Neodiprion lecontei: one gene and its partners. The main gene of each other region encodes a partner of the protein of the gene in region 3 in a complex. Links are inferred from orthologs where the notes say so. Each region holds a gene or a part of one and is shown on either strand. Other genes may lie near its edges. The genes, in order: TATA-box-binding protein, transcription initiation factor TFIID subunit 1 and transcription initiation factor TFIID subunit 5.

The links.
Region 1: transcription initiation factor TFIID subunit 5 (region 3) and TATA-box-binding protein share a complex: the UniProt entries of both Caenorhabditis elegans proteins name them as parts of the TFIID basal transcription factor complex. The link is inferred for Neodiprion lecontei from reciprocal best matches to the Caenorhabditis elegans genes taf-5 and tbp-1.
Region 2: transcription initiation factor TFIID subunit 5 (region 3) and transcription initiation factor TFIID subunit 1 share a complex: the UniProt entries of both Caenorhabditis elegans proteins name them as parts of the TFIID basal transcription factor complex. The link is inferred for Neodiprion lecontei from reciprocal best matches to the Caenorhabditis elegans genes taf-5 and taf-1.

What each region holds. Positions count from the first base shown.
Region 1 is NC_060261.1:14,535,160-14,540,101, reverse strand, and holds TATA-box-binding protein, read left to right. Parts: upstream 1-1,941; 5' UTR 1,942-2,303; coding exon 2,304-2,561; intron 2,562-2,659; coding exon 2,660-2,790; intron 2,791-2,852; coding exon 2,853-3,096; intron 3,097-3,171; coding exon 3,172-3,370; intron 3,371-3,608; coding exon 3,609-3,685; 3' UTR 3,686-4,022; downstream 4,023-4,942. Other genes in the region: splicing factor 3B subunit 5, read right to left, coding at 124-381; cilia- and flagella-associated protein 44, read right to left, coding at 4,307-4,347, 4,431-4,581, 4,683-4,942. UniProt on the Caenorhabditis elegans protein: The TFIID basal transcription factor complex plays a major role in the initiation of RNA polymerase II (Pol II)-dependent transcription.
Region 2 is NC_060261.1:1,233,992-1,239,530, forward strand, and holds the start of transcription initiation factor TFIID subunit 1, read right to left. Parts: upstream 3,403-5,539; 5' UTR 3,149-3,402; exon of another isoform or gene 3,026-3,148; 5' UTR 2,918-3,025; coding exon 2,153-2,917; intron 2,012-2,152; coding exon 465-2,011; intron 391-464; coding exon 128-390; intron 13-127; coding exon 1-12. UniProt on the Caenorhabditis elegans protein: The TFIID basal transcription factor complex plays a major role in the initiation of RNA polymerase II (Pol II)-dependent transcription.
Region 3 is NC_060261.1:43,189,339-43,196,432, reverse strand, and holds transcription initiation factor TFIID subunit 5, read right to left. Parts: upstream 4,633-7,094; 5' UTR 4,269-4,632; coding exon 4,206-4,268; intron 4,117-4,205; coding exon 3,931-4,116; intron 3,858-3,930; coding exon 3,655-3,857; intron 3,570-3,654; coding exon 3,373-3,569; intron 3,285-3,372; coding exon 3,080-3,284; intron 3,002-3,079; coding exon 2,882-3,001; intron 2,813-2,881; coding exon 2,667-2,812; intron 2,571-2,666; coding exon 2,433-2,570; intron 2,283-2,432; coding exon 2,089-2,282; intron 2,022-2,088; coding exon 1,515-2,021; 3' UTR 740-1,514; downstream 1-739. Other genes in the region: enolase, read left to right, coding at 1-269, 388-709; peptidoglycan-recognition protein SC2, read left to right, coding at 5,552-5,669. UniProt on the Caenorhabditis elegans protein: The TFIID basal transcription factor complex plays a major role in the initiation of RNA polymerase II (Pol II)-dependent transcription.

The DNA of each region.
Region 1 (4,942 bases), about 29 Mb from region 3:
TGACAAGGAGAGCATGATGTACATAAAAATTTATACATTCATTTGAGTTGATAAGAATTGGTTTATTTATATTTTTAGAGTAACAGAAAAAATCAGTTCGCAGCTTATTTTTTATAGATAGGATTAATCTTCTGGTTTTTCTGGAGGTGGGCCACAAGGCTGCAGCATTTTCTCCATCAGATTAAATCTGACGCGTGCCTTGGCTTCGTTTTCAGCTAGCGCAAAAAAATTTAGAAGGTCGTAATGCCCCATGTAAGAGCTACATGAATCTCTGTGCTGATTAACCAACCATTCAAATTTCGTTGTGTCTGCATGACCTGTCCCAATGTACTTGGATTGAAGATGTTCCAGCTGACTATGGATATTGTAACGTTCCCCCATTCCTAAATTGAACAATAACAAAATGCGTGATACATAACCTCGAAATTATAGGTTAGCGCTATTAATGGGACGCAATATTCCATAAATTCATTTATCACCGTCTGTCGTATGGCCGAATGTACTCTTGCAATATGTAATGTCAGTTATACTTCACAATATTAACAATTACTAAAATAGTGAAAAATTTCACTTGATATACTTTTCTACTTACTTTTGACAACGCTCTTGATAAGTTTCTAGTACACTTCTTGGTCTCTCTTATAAATGATTAACGAGATCAGTTTTCTAATGTATGTACAAGATTAACTACTTGGTTTTCACAAAAGTTTTGTTGATGTATGTATGCAGGTCCAGATGCCGAGTCCGTATTTTTATCAGTTTTGACACAAAACTAGACAGATATTGTCGAACGTTACAAATCACGCTTCGTCTTGAAACCATAGACTTATAAAGATAGACTAAGCGCTCCTAGAAGAGGCACTGACAATCACATATAAGGGACAGAGATATATCAGGACTACTGCTCTCACTTTTCAATTGGCGTCATGGTGGAAGACAACGGAGCAGTGGAAGTGGAACAGCTGTAGATATAGGCGCATAATTTCGCCTCATTCTCCTCTATCGCCTCGATCCCAGCCCCAAATATCGTCAGAGAGAGAAGGGAGTCTCCCGGCATATTTCTGTCCTTTAAATGTTTGCTTCAAGCGGCTCATAAGACCGCTCAGTCTATCTTTATAAGTCTATGCTTAAAACTGATGATGCACAGATAGTGGTCAAGCTGACCGCATTCAACCTATCTCTCTCACTCCGGATTGATCTTTGGCATACCTGCAACCAATGCCACTTCGGTAGAAAAACTACACTAGCAACGCTAGTAGTACAGAAAATAACCCTAATGTGTACAATTACTGAAGACAAGTTTTGTCCGTCTTGTGTTGGGTGTTTGGTCAGTTCCCTGACACACGCTGCTAAAAGTGGTTCGCAAAATGTCCCTCGATTCTGCCGCCAATCTCCACCACTAGTGGCGCTAGTAGTTGTCTGAAAAGCGTGCGCGCGGTCTACGAAGGCAGCGAGGGTGTCAGAAGTTTACTAGCGCCACGTAGGGGAACTAAAAAACGGGGACAAAACGCATACAATTTTTTAGTATACGAGCAGTGGCGAGTGTCAGGGGGCTGGTGTTTGGCTCTATTTGCGACCTGAAAAAAAAAGGAAAATGATCATCATTCTCACAATGTCCACCACCGCTGTAGGTTAGCTGGTGACGTTAAGATCTTGGCCGTGTTCGTAAATTGACTAACAGTACTCAAAATTCCCTAGGACAGAGTCAGAGCTATTCACGAACTGGGAAGCGCAAAAGAGATGAAAGATTGCTGACAGTACTGTCAGTCAATTTTCGAACACGGCCCTTATCTTACTCATCCTCACAGACGCATAAGGCCCCTGGCGGATTTCCGTCGTACTAAGACAAAATAATCACAGTAACCGAGGGCCAGTTGGACCACCTCTTATTCTTACACCGTGCCCCCCTCCCCCCCCCCCCCCTCCCCCGCCGCCAATCTAACCTATCCTGAGCTAACCTAACCCATCCTCTTGTACAGAATTATTGTTGATACCTTAACCGAAAATGGTGTCTGTTGAAAAATGAGTACAGGATCTCCCTAACTTCGGAATAGCTCATATATTAGAAGAATGAATTTGTGATATTAAATTTAAGTATGTGATTTTGTATGAATGTGTCGGCGAAGTATTAGATTATCAATATAACAGGGTAACGACACTGCACTTTCGCAAATCAACATTACTTGGTCATCAAAGTAATGTGCTAACTGGCCTTAGTTACCAAGTTCACTCGATTATCAAGATTGCACATAGTGGCAAATTATAAAATTTGTATTAAATTGAAATTTACATAAACATCCACGATGGATCAAATGCTCCCGAGTCCGGGATTCAGCATCCCGAGTATCGGCACACCGTTACATCAACCTGAAGAGGATCAACAAATATTGCCGAATGCGCTACAACAACAACAACAAGTCCAACAAAATCAACTACAGCAAATGCATCCGATGGGTTCAAACGTACACGGAATGCCAATGTTGGGTACACCGCACAAAACTATGCACACTTATGCTCCGGCATTCGCAACGCCGCAAAGTCTTATGCAGCCACAAACACCGGTAAACACTATCTATTATTTCACTCGCTTTTTCACCAACTAATGTTATAAAAGTTCTTAACCACTTAAGGATGATGTTTTGCTATTATTTTTTCATAGCAAAATATGATGTCGCCTATGGTTCAACCAGCAAGTCAAATAGCTCCCCCTTCAATCGGACCGTCAACTCCAGGCCCGATGACACCAATGACGCCTGCTTCCGCTGATCCTGGAATTCTACCCCAGCTTCAGTATGTTCCCATTGGCTACTGAATGTCTGTTACTATTTGTTAAATTCCTAATTATTCCTTAGGAACATTGTGTCAACGGTGAATCTCAACTGCAAGCTTAACTTGAAGGAAATTGCGCTACATGCTAGAAACGCCGAGTATAATCCGAAACGATTTGCAGCAGTTATAATGAGGATAAGAGAACCCAGAACTACCGCCTTGATATTCAGCAGCGGAAAAATGGTATGTACCGGCGCTAAAAGTGAAGAGGACTCTCGCCTGGCTGCAAGAAAATATGCACGTATCATACAGAAGCTTGGATTTCCAGTGAGTACTTGTATGTTGTCAAATTTCATATGATGAGATCCGTTTCCTGTACGAAACTTATTAAATTTTTATTAGGCTAAATTTCTGGATTTCAAAATTCAAAATATGGTTGGAAGCTGCGATGTCAAATTCCCCATCAGATTAGAAGGACTTGTATTAACGCACGGCCAATTCTCTTCGTATGAACCAGAACTATTCCCTGGCTTGATATATCGAATGGTTAAACCCCGTATCGTGTTGCTTATATTTGTTTCTGGCAAAGTTGTATTGACTGGTGAGTAATTAATCAAGAAAATCCAATGAAATATTCACAGCTTTTCGCTTGATATGAAATTATTTCTGATATTTCCGATAAATCCTTCACATTTGTCCTGCTAATAAGTTACCATTTGTCCCCAAATAGAGATTACAGTTTGCTGATCATTGTGAATACATGAGCAGTGCTTTCCAATTATTTCATGTCCAGTAATTGTAGTAATACATACCGATAATAATATTCTTGTTACCAACAGGTGCAAAAGTACGGCAAGAAATTTATGAAGCTTTCGATAACATATATCCAATTCTGAAGAGTTTTAAGAAGCAGTGATTCCCAACTGAATCTGACGATATTTTTGATACCCCGATGAAAGAATAGTCTTCTAAAATCTTTTTATTAATGCTGCTATTTGCAGAGGTGTACAGAACGACGAGTGTTCGTTATTTGTTAAAAAAGAATAACTGAAATAGCAACTACTGAAAATGTTACTGTACAAGACAATTGACATGAAGTACTATCGGTTTTTTGCGAGCACTTATATATTCTTACAGGCTGACAGGTGCCTTATGCCGCAAAGCCGTTATCTTTTATGAACAATTCTTAGATTAAGCTGTTGATTCTGGGCTTTGCCGTTAAGTAATGAAAAATAAAGTTAGTGTACCAAGTATTTTACGAATCTACTATTCCAAACCTCCCAGTAAATCAAATTTAACAAATGTGTGAAATTCAAATACACTGTAAAGGAATCAACTATGAGCACAGTTTTTTGAGAAAAGAATATGTGTTATACATAGCAGTGAATACGACATGTATTTACTGTTTCACTGCGTAGCGAGAGTTTATGAAGTAGAACTAACGGTTTCTTCTGTAAATGTTGTCTGAGTCATAGAGTTATCCAGCCTTTTTCTTATTGCTGCGACATTTTCTTTTTTTTTTTTCCTTTCAAGATGATTATTCTTTCGAATCAGATTCTGATATCTTCTGTGTTGATTCTATGATGTAGGAATAAAAATTAGATTTCATGTACCATACATCACCCGTAATAGAGAGCTGTTTAGAACAGAATTAAATTTACCTCTTTTTTCTTGAGATTCCTGTCTAGTTAACTCTACTGTTGGCAGCGAAGGTTGAGTCTCTTCGATATATAGCTCTGTAGTTTGTTCTAGAAGCTCGCTCTCTTCATGTTTTACTGCAACTGTTGGTTCTGGGTGTTCAAGTTCATCGGCCTTAGGTATTAACAAAGAAAATAATGATTGACGTTAAATTTCAGCTTTGGTCATCCAATCAAACAGGATGCATTTCGAATTCGAATAATTAAATATCTTACCGATACCTGGGATTGCATAATCAGTTGAGAAATATCTGTGAACACCTTGGTTGCATGTTCTCGTATATCCTGTTTCTCATCATCGCTAGTATTGTCTGGCAGATTGCTCAAGAGGTGATTTGTTGCAGCAGTTACTCCGTCTTCTTCTGCCAACAATTCAACTAACAAATCTTGAAGAATAGTAATATCTATCCCAGTTTCTTTGTCTATTCCAATATCATCGAGCAATTTCTTTACAAGTCGCTGCGGTTCTTCTTGGT
Region 2 (5,539 bases), about 42 Mb from region 3:
TTGAGTCCATTCCTAGTTTAAAAAACGAAGGTAACAAATCACAAATTTTTTAATAATACTATTCTTTGCAGAATTTGATAGAAATATGTAAGGAAATTTTACGAGGCTGATACAGAGTGAAATGTACCTGTTCTTTTAAAATCAGCGCAAAGCTTCAGTCTCTTTCTTATACTGCTTTCACTATGCGATGGGAATGCTTTTTTAATATCATCCATTTTGATTCGCCTAGGAGTGTCACGAGATTTCCAGAATAATCTATATATGAAAACTTGCAAGAAATCTCTTACAAAGTTGTTTGCTCGTTTGGAATTTGGACCAGGAACTTCATACAACGGACACTCTTGTCCAGCAATAAATAAGGCATCTATTTCCCTCACGAAATATTGCTGTCTGAAAAATGGGCAATGTTTAGACCAGTGATTAGAGTGATTCTATTTCTACAACAACCTTTGAAGCAGCTGTACCTTGTCCTTATTATCAAGAAATCAGTCTCTGGACCATTGTGTTCATAAATCGGGGCCCTGTACATGTTATTTTCAATAGCCTGAATACTTTGGCCAGGTGTTAAGATGCCCAAAAATGGGCTGGTGTGCGCATAAGCGACCTCTCCATATTTGTAACGCATAGGCCCTTGATCCTTTCCAGCTCTTCGTTTGTAGTAATTCTTGACTTTGGAGCACATTCCAACTTGATTCATCAGAGGTGGATGTTCCTCAGAAAACTCAATGAGAACAATTTCCCCATCTCTTCCAGTCAAATCTTCAGGTGTCCTCATGAAGAAGACATCTCCACCTCCCGAGGCAATTCTCTCCTGTTCTCTTTGCTTAGCTTTCTTCTTGATGTGCTTGAGGAGAGGCAACACGTGGTGGGGACCAGTGTGAGACAGAGGTCCGTGACTGTACCTCTTTAACGGAGGTCTATGGAAATTCCTCAGTCTCATAGGTCCCATGTGTGTCTGTACGAAAGGTGCTCGCAATTCTACGACCGGTGTGCTATGCTGTATTAAATTGCCACCGCCAACTTTTAATCGTAATGTTGTTTCCGAAGAGCGAGGCATGTAGTAAGAGTCATTTGATATGTTGAATGGATCTCTATCGGGAGACTTTGGAGGTGGAGGCGGAGCATCCTCTTCAAGAACGTTGATAACTCCTGCTTTACCCAGCAAAAGTTTGCTTTTTTTCACATGAGGGTGTGGGATTTTTACCTTAGGTTGAGGCCCATTGTCTTTATGAAGAAGAGCTGGGTCTATGTCATCCGGTATTCCCAATACAATGTTTTCATCGTTTGGATCTAGGGTGAGAATCTTTGGTTTCGGTATTTTCGTCATGTGCTCAGCATCCCAGATAACTTCCTCTTCCCAGAGTCCGTAAACTAACTCCTCATTCTCCACAGGGAAAATAGAGTACCAAGTATCGTCATAGTTTTCTTCACGCTGTTGCTGCTGGCTGCCTTTACCCATCGATGCAAGTTTACTCTTAGACTGCATGTGCAGAGGAGTCGCTATTTGCGATGTAGCAAGTCGAACGTTAGGTGCTACAGGAACAGGAGTTCCTTTTCCTGGCTGGCTGAAGGCCTGAGCAGTTCTGTTACTGCTCGAAGGTACCCAACCAGCAGCATTATTCTTGCTATTTAATTTTTGCATCACTTTATGTTTTATATCATCACCATTCCACACGACATCATCCTCCCAATGCAGTTGAGACACCATAAGAAAGGAATCGTCTGGAAATGTATCCTCATCTTTTGACTTGCAGACTTCTTCAGTTTTCTCCGCAAGTTTGAACCCATAATTAAAGCCGTCACCAGTCTCTGGGACTTCCAACATGTCATACCAAATTTGGGCTGGACCGAAGCGCCAGTCTGCAACTTTTGGACCCATGTCATTGCTGTCTCCCATGTCGCCAGTTTTACCAGTTTGTTCCTTGTCTTCGACGGGAAGCAATAACTTTTCTTCATCATCTGGGATACATTCATCTGGCGATGGAGTCGGTGCGTAATGCATTTTCCACCCCTGTTGGAAGATTGACTTAAATTCTCAAATTTGTGATATTTCTCACAGCTTTTAAAACATTTTCTAATGTCAAAATTGCTTAGTAGAAGAGTACCTAACTACATTTTCAGCTAATTAAAAGCTTTTCAATATTTATTGTACCTTGAACTTAGGTTTCCTCTCGTCGTGATCAGATCCCGAGTCTGAATCCTTCGGATCGTGGTGTTTCTTCTTTTTCCGCCGTTTTCGAACACCCCGCCAAATTTGCGGAAGGCTGCTAGGTTTGCCAGGGCCAAAAAGTCGCGAGAACCTAAGGACCTTATTGGGGCGAAAATCAGGAAACAATTCCGTAACGTTGATATTTGCATATTTGGAAGGCAGCATGGAAGCCAAGGGCGTTTCAAGCTTACGCTGGCGAGCAGCTTCTGCCTCTTCAGGGGTCAGAGCTTCTTTTTCATCTGGAATGGGCGGAGGAGGCATTAACTGAGTGTCAGATTTATTGACTCCCTCCTCATCATCTGCATCGTAGTCACTGGCTGCCCTATCCTGTTTCTTGGAGGACGCTTCTGCATCATCTTCGTTTATGTCTTCAGCTAATTCGTTAATATCAGAGAAATCCAACGCTGTTGGAGATTTTTCTAGATAGTTGACATCGTCAGACTCGGATTTGACACGTGTTTTATTTTCATCTTCATTTTCTCCTTTCTCATTTTCTTTTTCATTCTGTTCCTCATTGTCTAGAGCAATCATTTCCTGCAGTAAACTGCTAAGGCCGAGGCGACCCAGGGAAGCCAAATGGCGCTTCGCCTCGGAATCTAATATATCATCCTCCAACTGACCATCTTCATCAATGTTGCCAAATAAAAATCCAGTCATATTCATTTCCAGATCCATGTCTCTGTCGTTTTCCTCGTCTGAGTCAACCATTTTCAGCAGATACAAATGAGTGTGTTTTTGAGAAACGGTGGCTTTGAATCAGTAAAGATTAACTATTTTGAGGTTAGATGGTTGGCTTTACAAGCGGGGATTACTATCCTGTATTGATACATTAATTTAGTTTTTTAGTTTTTAATCGTATTTTACGAATATTAATTTCGCACCTATAACGTCTTGTCAATGTGTACGTAATAAATTGAACTTGGGAAATCAAAAGCTCACCCCTTGTTTAGCAACATTACTCGCAATCATATCCCGTTTTTAAAGCGTTGTCTAGTTTACGCTAGTTTTTTTAGAGTGTTGGCGCCATCTGATGCAAAACAGATTCTTAGAACTAATTTTCATTTGCAGACGCATGCTGATAAGCCACTGTGATAAGCGAAATAGATTTACCATCGCAGTAGGGTAAATGCAGTGAATAATAAACTATGATGATGAGGCTGGATTTTCACGGGCGTGAAGTTGACGCAAAAACACCATGCCGTTGGTGGCAAAAGGTCGCGAGCACGGTCTTATAAACAGGTTTGGGCACTCCAATTCCCTTCCTATATAACGCAGCGTGACCGACTTGAAGCCTGTGTTTCTCAATTTGTGCACCAAAGACCGGAGCGCTGCAATCTCCGAGGCAGGTGTATGCGTATTAAGTAGGCCTCTCCCTCACTAGCGCTAGCGGCAAAAATTCACAACATCGGCTTCATTTTCGAGCACGGTTTTACAGCCGGAGTACACAGACCGATCATAAAGACCGTGGTCGCTAGTGAAAATAGATACGACGAAACGGTGAAATGCCACGAGTTTTGAACTAGGTAGTTGAGACAGTGGTTCTCAGTTGCGTTTTTATCCCAAGGATTTAAAAATCTAGAATTTTTGATTGGCAGTGGAAAAAACGGAATAAATGGGGGAACGAAAAGGAAATCACATAAAATGTAGCGATTTTTCAAGGTGAGAAAAAAATCTAATTGATTCTCATGCTTCCACAACCATGAATTCGTGCATGATTGAGACGCCGCCTATTCATACGCTTATTACCGCATAGCCCATACTGAAAATGATGGAGGGTGTCCAGGGCGTTTCATCAAAACAATGAATAATAATATGAAATGGCAACAATACTTGACTCGCTTAAATGCATTACATGCATTACCATTCTACAATAAATAGAGTAATTGGAATATTATCTTATACCTCGAATAGCTATTATACTCATACAGCTGATAAACAAACTCTATAGAATACGCTGCGAGCTACGGTACATATCGATAGTTGCAGCCGAAGAACGTTCCACGCTCTTCTGAGTGCGTTTTCTGCATTCCAGGGGTCCAATTAGTCAAGAAATGGTCACACAAAATGGTTCTGAGACGAAAGATTTTTCGCTGAAAAATAAAGTATAAAGGCTATATCTTTGCATTTTTGGCGAAAATTATCGCGATTTTGAAAAGTGCTGGAATAAATTCTTTCATGCACTATTCCGACGTAATTTTGCGAGAGAAACCGATTGGGCGCAGTCCCGATACGCTGCGAGCAACAGATCAAAAGTTAGAGCCGAAAAACGAGAACCTGTGTTTTCGACATTTTTCAGCAGGTGCTTTCTCCTTCGTAATTTCTCTCCTGTTGATCCCACGCTCTTTTCGCTGCATTTTCTGAGTTCCTGGCGGTCCAATTAGGCAGGAAATGGTCGTACAAATCGAATCTGAGACCAAAAATTTTCGGCTCCAAAAATGAAGAAAAAGTAAGGCTAACCCCTTTGCATTTTTGGCGAAAATCTTCGCGATTTTGAAAAGTGCTGGAATAAATTCTTTCGTGCACTATTCCGACGTAATTTTGCGAGAGAAATCGACTGGGCGCAGTCCCGATACGCTGCGAGCAACAGATCAAAAGTTACAGCCAAAAAACCAGAACCTGTGTTTTCGACGTTTTTCAGCGGGTGCTTTTTCCTTCGGAATTTCTCTCCTGTTGATCCCACGGTCTTTTCGCTGCAGTTTCTGAGTTCCTGGCGGTCCAATTAGGCAGGAAATGGTCGTACAAATCGAATCTGAGACCAAAAATTTTCGGCTCCAAAAATGAAGAAAAAGTAAGGCTAACCCCTTTGCATTTTTGGCGAAAATCTTCGCGATTTTGAAAAGTGCTGGAATAAATTCTTTCGTGCACTATTCCGACGTAATTTTGCGAGAGAAATCGACTGGGCGCAGTCCCGATACGCTGCGAGCAACAGATCAAAAGTTACAGCCAAAAAACCAGAACCTGTGTTTTCGACGTTTTTCAGCGGGTGCTTTTTCCTTCGGAATTTCTCTCCTGTTGATCCCACGGTCTTTTCGCTGCAGTTTCTGAGTTCCTGGCGGTCCAATTAGGCAGGAAATGGTCGTACAAATCGAATCTGAGACCAAAAATTTTCGGCTCCAAAAATGAAGAAAAAGTAAGGCTAACCCCTTTGCATTTTTGGCGAAAATCTTCGCGATTTTGAAAAGTGCTGGAATAAATTCTTTCGTACACTATTCCGACGTAATTTTGCGAGAGAAATCGACTGGGTGCAGTCCCGATACGCTGCGAGCAACAGATAAAAAGTTAGAGCCGAAAAACGAGAACCTGTGTTTTCGACATTTTTCAGCAGGTGCT
Region 3 (7,094 bases):
AAGATCAAGATTGGCATGGATGTCGCCGCATCTGAATTCTTCAAAGATGGAAAGTATGATTTGGACTTCAAGAACCCAGCCTCAGATCCTAGCAAATTCCTAGAGCCACAGGCTCTGCAAAATCTGTACCTTGACTTCGTTAAAGAGTTCCCAATTGTCTCAATTGAGGATCCGTTTGACCAAGATGATTGGGCATCTTGGACCTCTATCACTGCTGCAACACCTATTCAGATCGTTGGAGACGATCTCACAGTGACTAATCCCATCCGGTGAGTTATCTCAAATATATCTTCGGCTTCTCAACATAAACTTTGTGTTTATTTCAATAAAATTCGTGACGAGTTTTTTTTTTTTTTGCTTATTCACTAATCAAATTTTTTTTCTTAGCATCCAGAAGGCTGTCGACTCCAAAGCCTGCAACTGTTTGCTGCTGAAGGTCAACCAAATTGGTAGTGTTACCGAATCTATCAATGCTCACAAGCTAGCGAAGAGCAACGGATGGGGAACCATGGTGTCTCATCGATCGGGAGAAACTGAGGACACCTTCATTGCTGATCTAGTAGTTGGTCTTTCTACCGGCCAGATTAAAACCGGAGCCCCATGCCGCTCGGAGCGTCTTGCAAAGTACAACCAGATTCTTCGTATTGAAGAGGAGCTTGGAGCTGCTGCGAAATATGCTGGAGAGAAATTCCGCAACCCCACCGCCTAAATTTAGCTCGCTAAATTTTTGAAAGAAGTACTATCACAATTTTATCGTACCGTTATTGAGAATGGTCTGCCTTTTCATGTGGAAATATGAACAGAACGATAATGCGTGGTTATAATTTGAAATCAGTTACCTAATCTCGCAAGGCAAGCATTCCCCTGTAATGTTAGATTCGATGAAAAATTATATTCCTGCTCTTAATGTACTAGTCTGCTGTGTATTATCGGCGAAAAATTTTCCTTTTCCATGGATCAGCATACGCTCATTACTCAGTTTTAACAAAATTCTCATTTTATCCATCCCATTACTGTAGATTCTTATTTAATAAATATATTAATGTAAATGTATTACAAAATATAATACCGTGTTATTCAGTGAGCTAAAGTATTTAGGGGCTAGAAGATGATTGGTCGATGAAGCTGATCTAACAATAATCGTTGTGAATTTACGTGAGTAATTATTTCGTGAAACTATAATGTAAAGTGATACTATACATTTTCGCAATTAACGAGTAAATAACGTTAATCATTTAAATTTGTTGTATTGTCTTCTTTCTCGCATCCTTTACACCTCTGATCCAAATTTTATACAACAGTTTTGTGAAGTATAACACATCTAACAAAATTATCAAAATATTGCTATTTTATAGAATTGTAAGAGGTTACAGCTTAAAAAATGAATATTAAGCTCGATCTGGATTGTTCATTTAGTATGAAACAATTTTAAACCTCACACTTAGGTTCAATGAACTCTTACTCATTCTGAAATTCACACTGACAATCGCGAGCACTGGAAGAACCGGACTGGTCTAAGATACTTCGAACATACCGACTGCTAGTAGAAGATTTCTTCGCGAAAAGTGGAGGGTGAGAACGGGTGAATTTTTTGTCGGAAAAGTTCGTAGGAGGTAGGTCTCGACGCATGTTTTGACGTCAGGATTATGCGAGACGTTAACGTCCTCCAAGCTCATTTCTTCAGCAAGTTTGGTAAAGTCCCAAAGCTTCAGTGTCGAATCGAGGGATCCTGACACTAAGATATTACCGTCTCTACTGAAGAACAAGCAATGTACTGTGGCTGTATGGCTGGATAAGGCTGCGACCAAATGTCCGTGCGCTAAATCCCAAATCAGGACTCTGTTATCGGCACCCGCAGTCGCCAGGAAGCGACCTTCCGCGGAAAATGCTAGGGAATATATCGGACCTTTGTGGCCGGTCATCAACCGCACCTGACCTCCAGTAACACAGTCCCACAGTCTGACTGTCCGGTCGCTGGATCCCGTAGCAACGTAATTTGAATTTGGATGGAATTGTACGACCTAAGGATGGAAAGGACAACAAGGAGTTAGATTCGCATTGTACGAAAATTAATTAAATGCAACTTACATCGACATCTGAGTAATGCCCGGAAAAAATTCGGAGAGGCTGATGAGCGTCAGTTGCCCAGAGTCTTGCAGTCTTGTCGTGGGAACCTGTCGCGAAATAGTAACCATGTGGTGAGAATCTCACTGACCAAACAGGGAACAGGTGACCCTTGTAGCAAACAACACAGGTCCACGTATGAAGAGACCATAGCCTTACTGGAACCGAGAAGAGAAATGTCAGGTTGAGCAAATTGTTGAGCAAACTAAGAAAAGATGATACTTTTTCGTAGAATATTTAAGACAATTATCACCAATATTTATACATTGATAAAAACTGAACCTTGATGTTCACTGTGTCATGCTCACCTGTGGTGTCCTCTGATGAAGATAGTAGTAAATTTCTGTCTGGGCTAAACGACAAACTATAAATAGGTCCGCTGTGTCCATATAGGGTTCTCGACGATTCAGCTGTCCTGTCGTCCATCATTCTCACAAGTACATCGTCTTAAGAGAATTATTCAGATTAAAGATAACAGCAAAAACATTAACTTAGAAAAGCCAGAGGCAGATTTTTTTGAAAGGAGAAAGAGTCGCGAGTACCAGCTTCGCGGTCGATGTCTTGTAATTGATCCCCACTTTTCATCAGTCTTAATTTTTGTGGAACCAGGCTCCATACTTTTACTGCGGAATCACTGAAGCCAATGGCCAGCAAACTGGAATCTTCTGCGACTTCTGCAGCAGTAACGCTGCAATTATATGAGCGAAAGTGTCATTGAATCATCGATATGATTTAAAATATTTAATATAAGTCGTACCTGTGTACTGAATTCAATAAAGTATAGAAGCATATTGACGGAAGACTGTCTGGCCCCAATACCACTCTCTTTGAAGCCTCTCTCAATGCTTTAACCTTCTCCAGTTTATCAGCATCTTTCCTAAATACGATCAATCTTTTTAAGCAGCGATACAAAGTCAAATCGATTAGAATCAACAAAGTGCAAAAATAAACTAACAAATTTGGTAGGGGCATTCTTCCGACCGGAGGTGCATTAGGGTCTGATTTAGTTTTCTTAGAAAAGAGTGGATCTTTTTTTGCTTTCTTTTTCTTTGGTTTATCTCCTCCCTCCCCACCGCCATCGTCTTCTTCTTCCTCAGCCGGCGGGACGCACTGAATATCTGGTTCCTTTAAAAGCCCATAATAGACTTTAGCCTTGTTATCTATGGAATTGAAAGGAATCCTTGAAGTTGAAGATCAGATATTTGAACAAATTTAAGACATAGACCATTGATTGCTTTCAAATTATACCTTGCCGCGTAGCTTCCCCCACAACAGCGCCTGACGTTGCTTCAATCTGTTGCTTGTTCCGAGCGACACCTTCGTACATATCAAAGTAAAGATGCTCTTGAATAATATTGAGCAAAATGCTATGTTTTTTCTCTTGAAGATGCCGCTTGAGTATGGAAAGCGTGTCTCGGGACATCCTTATAATAAACTGGTTAGACCTGTAAGAAAGTAATCGTCATTTTCTGTCACAAATTTACCTGTACAGCTTACTTTTCTTATCAACCCCATAGCTCTGATCCTCACTTGAAAGTATCCGTCAGCTCATTACCAGCAATCTGTTCCCGTTTTGTGACATTTGACAATCGCTTCAGATCCTCCTGGTAATATTCCTCCAAATTACCACTGAACTTCTCCAGCAGCTGTTTTGCTTCTCCTGAATGGTTGTTGTAAACAAGTTCCAGGTACATGTGAACCAATACCGGATACAATATTGTGCCAAGTTCATGCTACAGAAAGCGAAAGTAAATGTAAGATAAGGTCGGACAAAAATGCACAAAGAATTGATCGCTTATCGCAAACCTTGTAAATATCCAGAGCTCCTTCGACGAATTTCTTAAGTTCGGTATAGGCTTTCTCATACAGCGCTGGATCACCCTCGCTTTTGTAAGCTGATAGTACGCTGCTAACTTCAGAATCAGTTTGTTGACTATCCTCAGCTGAAACATCCGTCAAGTTTGCTTCCTTTCTAAATAACTCCTCGGTACCCTGGGGAGAAAGCCGAAGCGTATTTTAATCTGACGGTACAGTTTTGTTTACATGTCATATTTGCAATTTGAGGTTAAGTCAACGCTTACCTTTAAATTGTATTTCCGTAACAGCTGCAATACTGCAAGCATTGTGCTTTTCTCGTTGTCCATGGTTGCAGGTTTTTTTTCCCGTCTGCACCGCGTCTGTGATTTAAATTTTGATCCGAGGAATCGAAATCGTCAGACGCGAACGAGGATGCTAGCTATCCGGAGACACGATCAATTTCGCCGCCCCATTTGTCTAGCGCATGTGACACGCAACATGCTGACGATGCTGACCAGTCAGATATATGGTGACTCCGAAACATGCCCCTTGAATAAAATACACCCTCAACTTAGCTGCGTGTCTGGTTGCCGCTTCCATCATAAGCAGGCGTAGGAAACTGCCCGACTTGTAAAAGGACGTTTCCACGCCAGTCCGACATACAGTATCTAGATTTTGAATGTATGGAGTGGTAGTAGTAGGTCATCGTCTGCCAGGGATAGCAACATACCATTAACAATTTTTCATAGAGAATAGAAATAAATCCAATAAAATTACAATCAAACGGGAACAATTATAAGTAAATAATCAGAATTTATAAATGCACAAGTCTTACACGAATTACAACTTAGAATTACCTGTGCAAGAAAGCTCAGCAATATTATTCTGCCTTAGACTTTTTTACAATTGATGAGAATGTCACGTTCTAACATATTTTGTACATATGTTGTACAAATTTCTGAATTCACATAGCAAATGATGTATTGAAATTCTTATGCCTAACACATATTTGAGAAACAATTAATCCACGTAATGATCTACAGAAGTCATCTGTACATCTTTCTATTAATTTTTCGATATCGAGCCATGCTGGAGCATTTATATTCCGAAACTTGTATTATAGAAAAATTTTCAATTTATCAAGACGCGAAGCAGTTATCATGGAGTTCTTTATACATAGCGAGAATGAAAATAAAAATTCTAGATAAAGCGATGAAAACATAGCATGTATATTATTTCTGAACTTCGGAAAGTATGTCAGAGGCAGATCTCGTCAGATGAAAATAATACACAACTCAATGCTCGAAATCCTCGGATCATTCCCTACGAATAGTTTCCTAGGTGCAAGAATATTAAACTGCACAAAGAACATCGATTTTGATCGCAAGCCATCCTTATACCGTAATTGAGATTAATCGCTTATGGTAGAAGCACGTGAACTAAGCGGCGGTGGGGTGGGGCGGAGGGGGGGGGGGGGAGGAGGGGGAAAGATCTGAAAGAACCTACGATCAGATTGGGAGGGAATACCCGGCGTCCTTTAGTTTTTAGTTTAAAAGCGGCTGCGTGAGCGCATTGACCACCAGTTTTATCTATAATTCGGTCCGCGCACTTCTCTCAGTTTTCCCTCACCATGAGTCGGTTTGCTAATTACAAATCGATCATTGTGGTCTTGAGTACAATCGGCTCTCTGGCGATTGGAACTCCCATCAAACTTTCCGAAGAAGCAATTTCCACCACACCAAGTAAGGGTGAGATTATTTGGTTCCGACTTGTTTTTAGTATCCATCTTTGCGCTGAACGAAAATATATTGAACGCGGAAAATGAAATAGATAATGGTACAATTCGTCCGGCTAGAGTTACACAAATAGGAAATTCAACGCGTTTGGGAATTCCCCTGAAAATTAGATGCATTCGTCGTGCGCATCTCATGGCCGTACACGGAAGAAAATTTATTCAGCGTTAACTATTTTCCTTGTCATCTGATGCCTGAAAATTTCAATCAGTAGTTTCTAGTATGTTCCTGCATGGTCTCAATAGTTGGATGGTACAGTATTCTATTTTTATGCACTGCTATTAAAATATATTTCTAAAGCAAAACAAAAACATTAATCGCGTAGTATAGCACGAAGTCCCGCTGCACTTAACAACCTGATTCAAACGTTCCTCTTTATCAGTAATTCATTCCGATTACTCCATTGATAAGAATTTTCAACAGATTTAGGATAATTGATTGAATCGCGTTGTTTTTATGATCTCACCTGATTCACGCGAAAGGTTATCGTTAGAGGATTAATACTGGCACAAAAAAAATCCTTTGATTATCAGGCCTTATCCATGTTTGAAAATTGCGGTTTGATATCAGTAGCGTACTTCACGGCATCTTTTAAGAACAGTGCCTTGGCACGACTTTTTTATCTTCGACAATCGAGCAGAAGTTTTTGTAATTAACGCGATGCAGGTATGAAGATCGTTTACTGTAAACAGTGTTACTTTCAAGTTGTAGTGCGAAGTTTTTCTTCGAGATTTTGTGAAGTTTCTCGTATCGTAATCAATCGCGTCAAGTCAATGAAATTCACGATTAATAGTTTCAAACTCGTTTAGCAGGCATCAGGTGTAAGTTTAGAACGAGTCGATGAGTATTGTTGACCGGTAAAAATCCCGGACAGCGTAATTGAGGCGAGATACAACGTAATGCCACAAACAACACGATAATCAAATCACGTGCACCGCAAAAGGAAGTGTAAATGCAACGTTCCTATTCCCACATCATTATTACATTCAGCCGGACGAAAGAAAGACTCTGAATTTGTTATCGTGTTATCGTGGTAAGACTTGAGTATCGGTTATCAGGTTCGAAATATCGAAAGACAAACAATTGCGGTAATTATCGTACACTAGATTTATGAAATTCTGACAATGCAAGATTTTCGCATCCAACTCGTAACTCCCACGGTGCAGCTCTCATATACATATACCCAATATGTAACCTTAGAGTGAGCATAAAAAAGTACCACTCATTTCCTGGTCACCAGTACTCCACCACAACACCTTTCGCTAATAACTTGTTCACATATGTGCACCGCATATATTTGCATATTCACAAACAAAGTTCAGTACGCGGGAGACGGAACAAGAAATGTAAAAAATGAAAATTCAATGCTAAGAGCAGCTA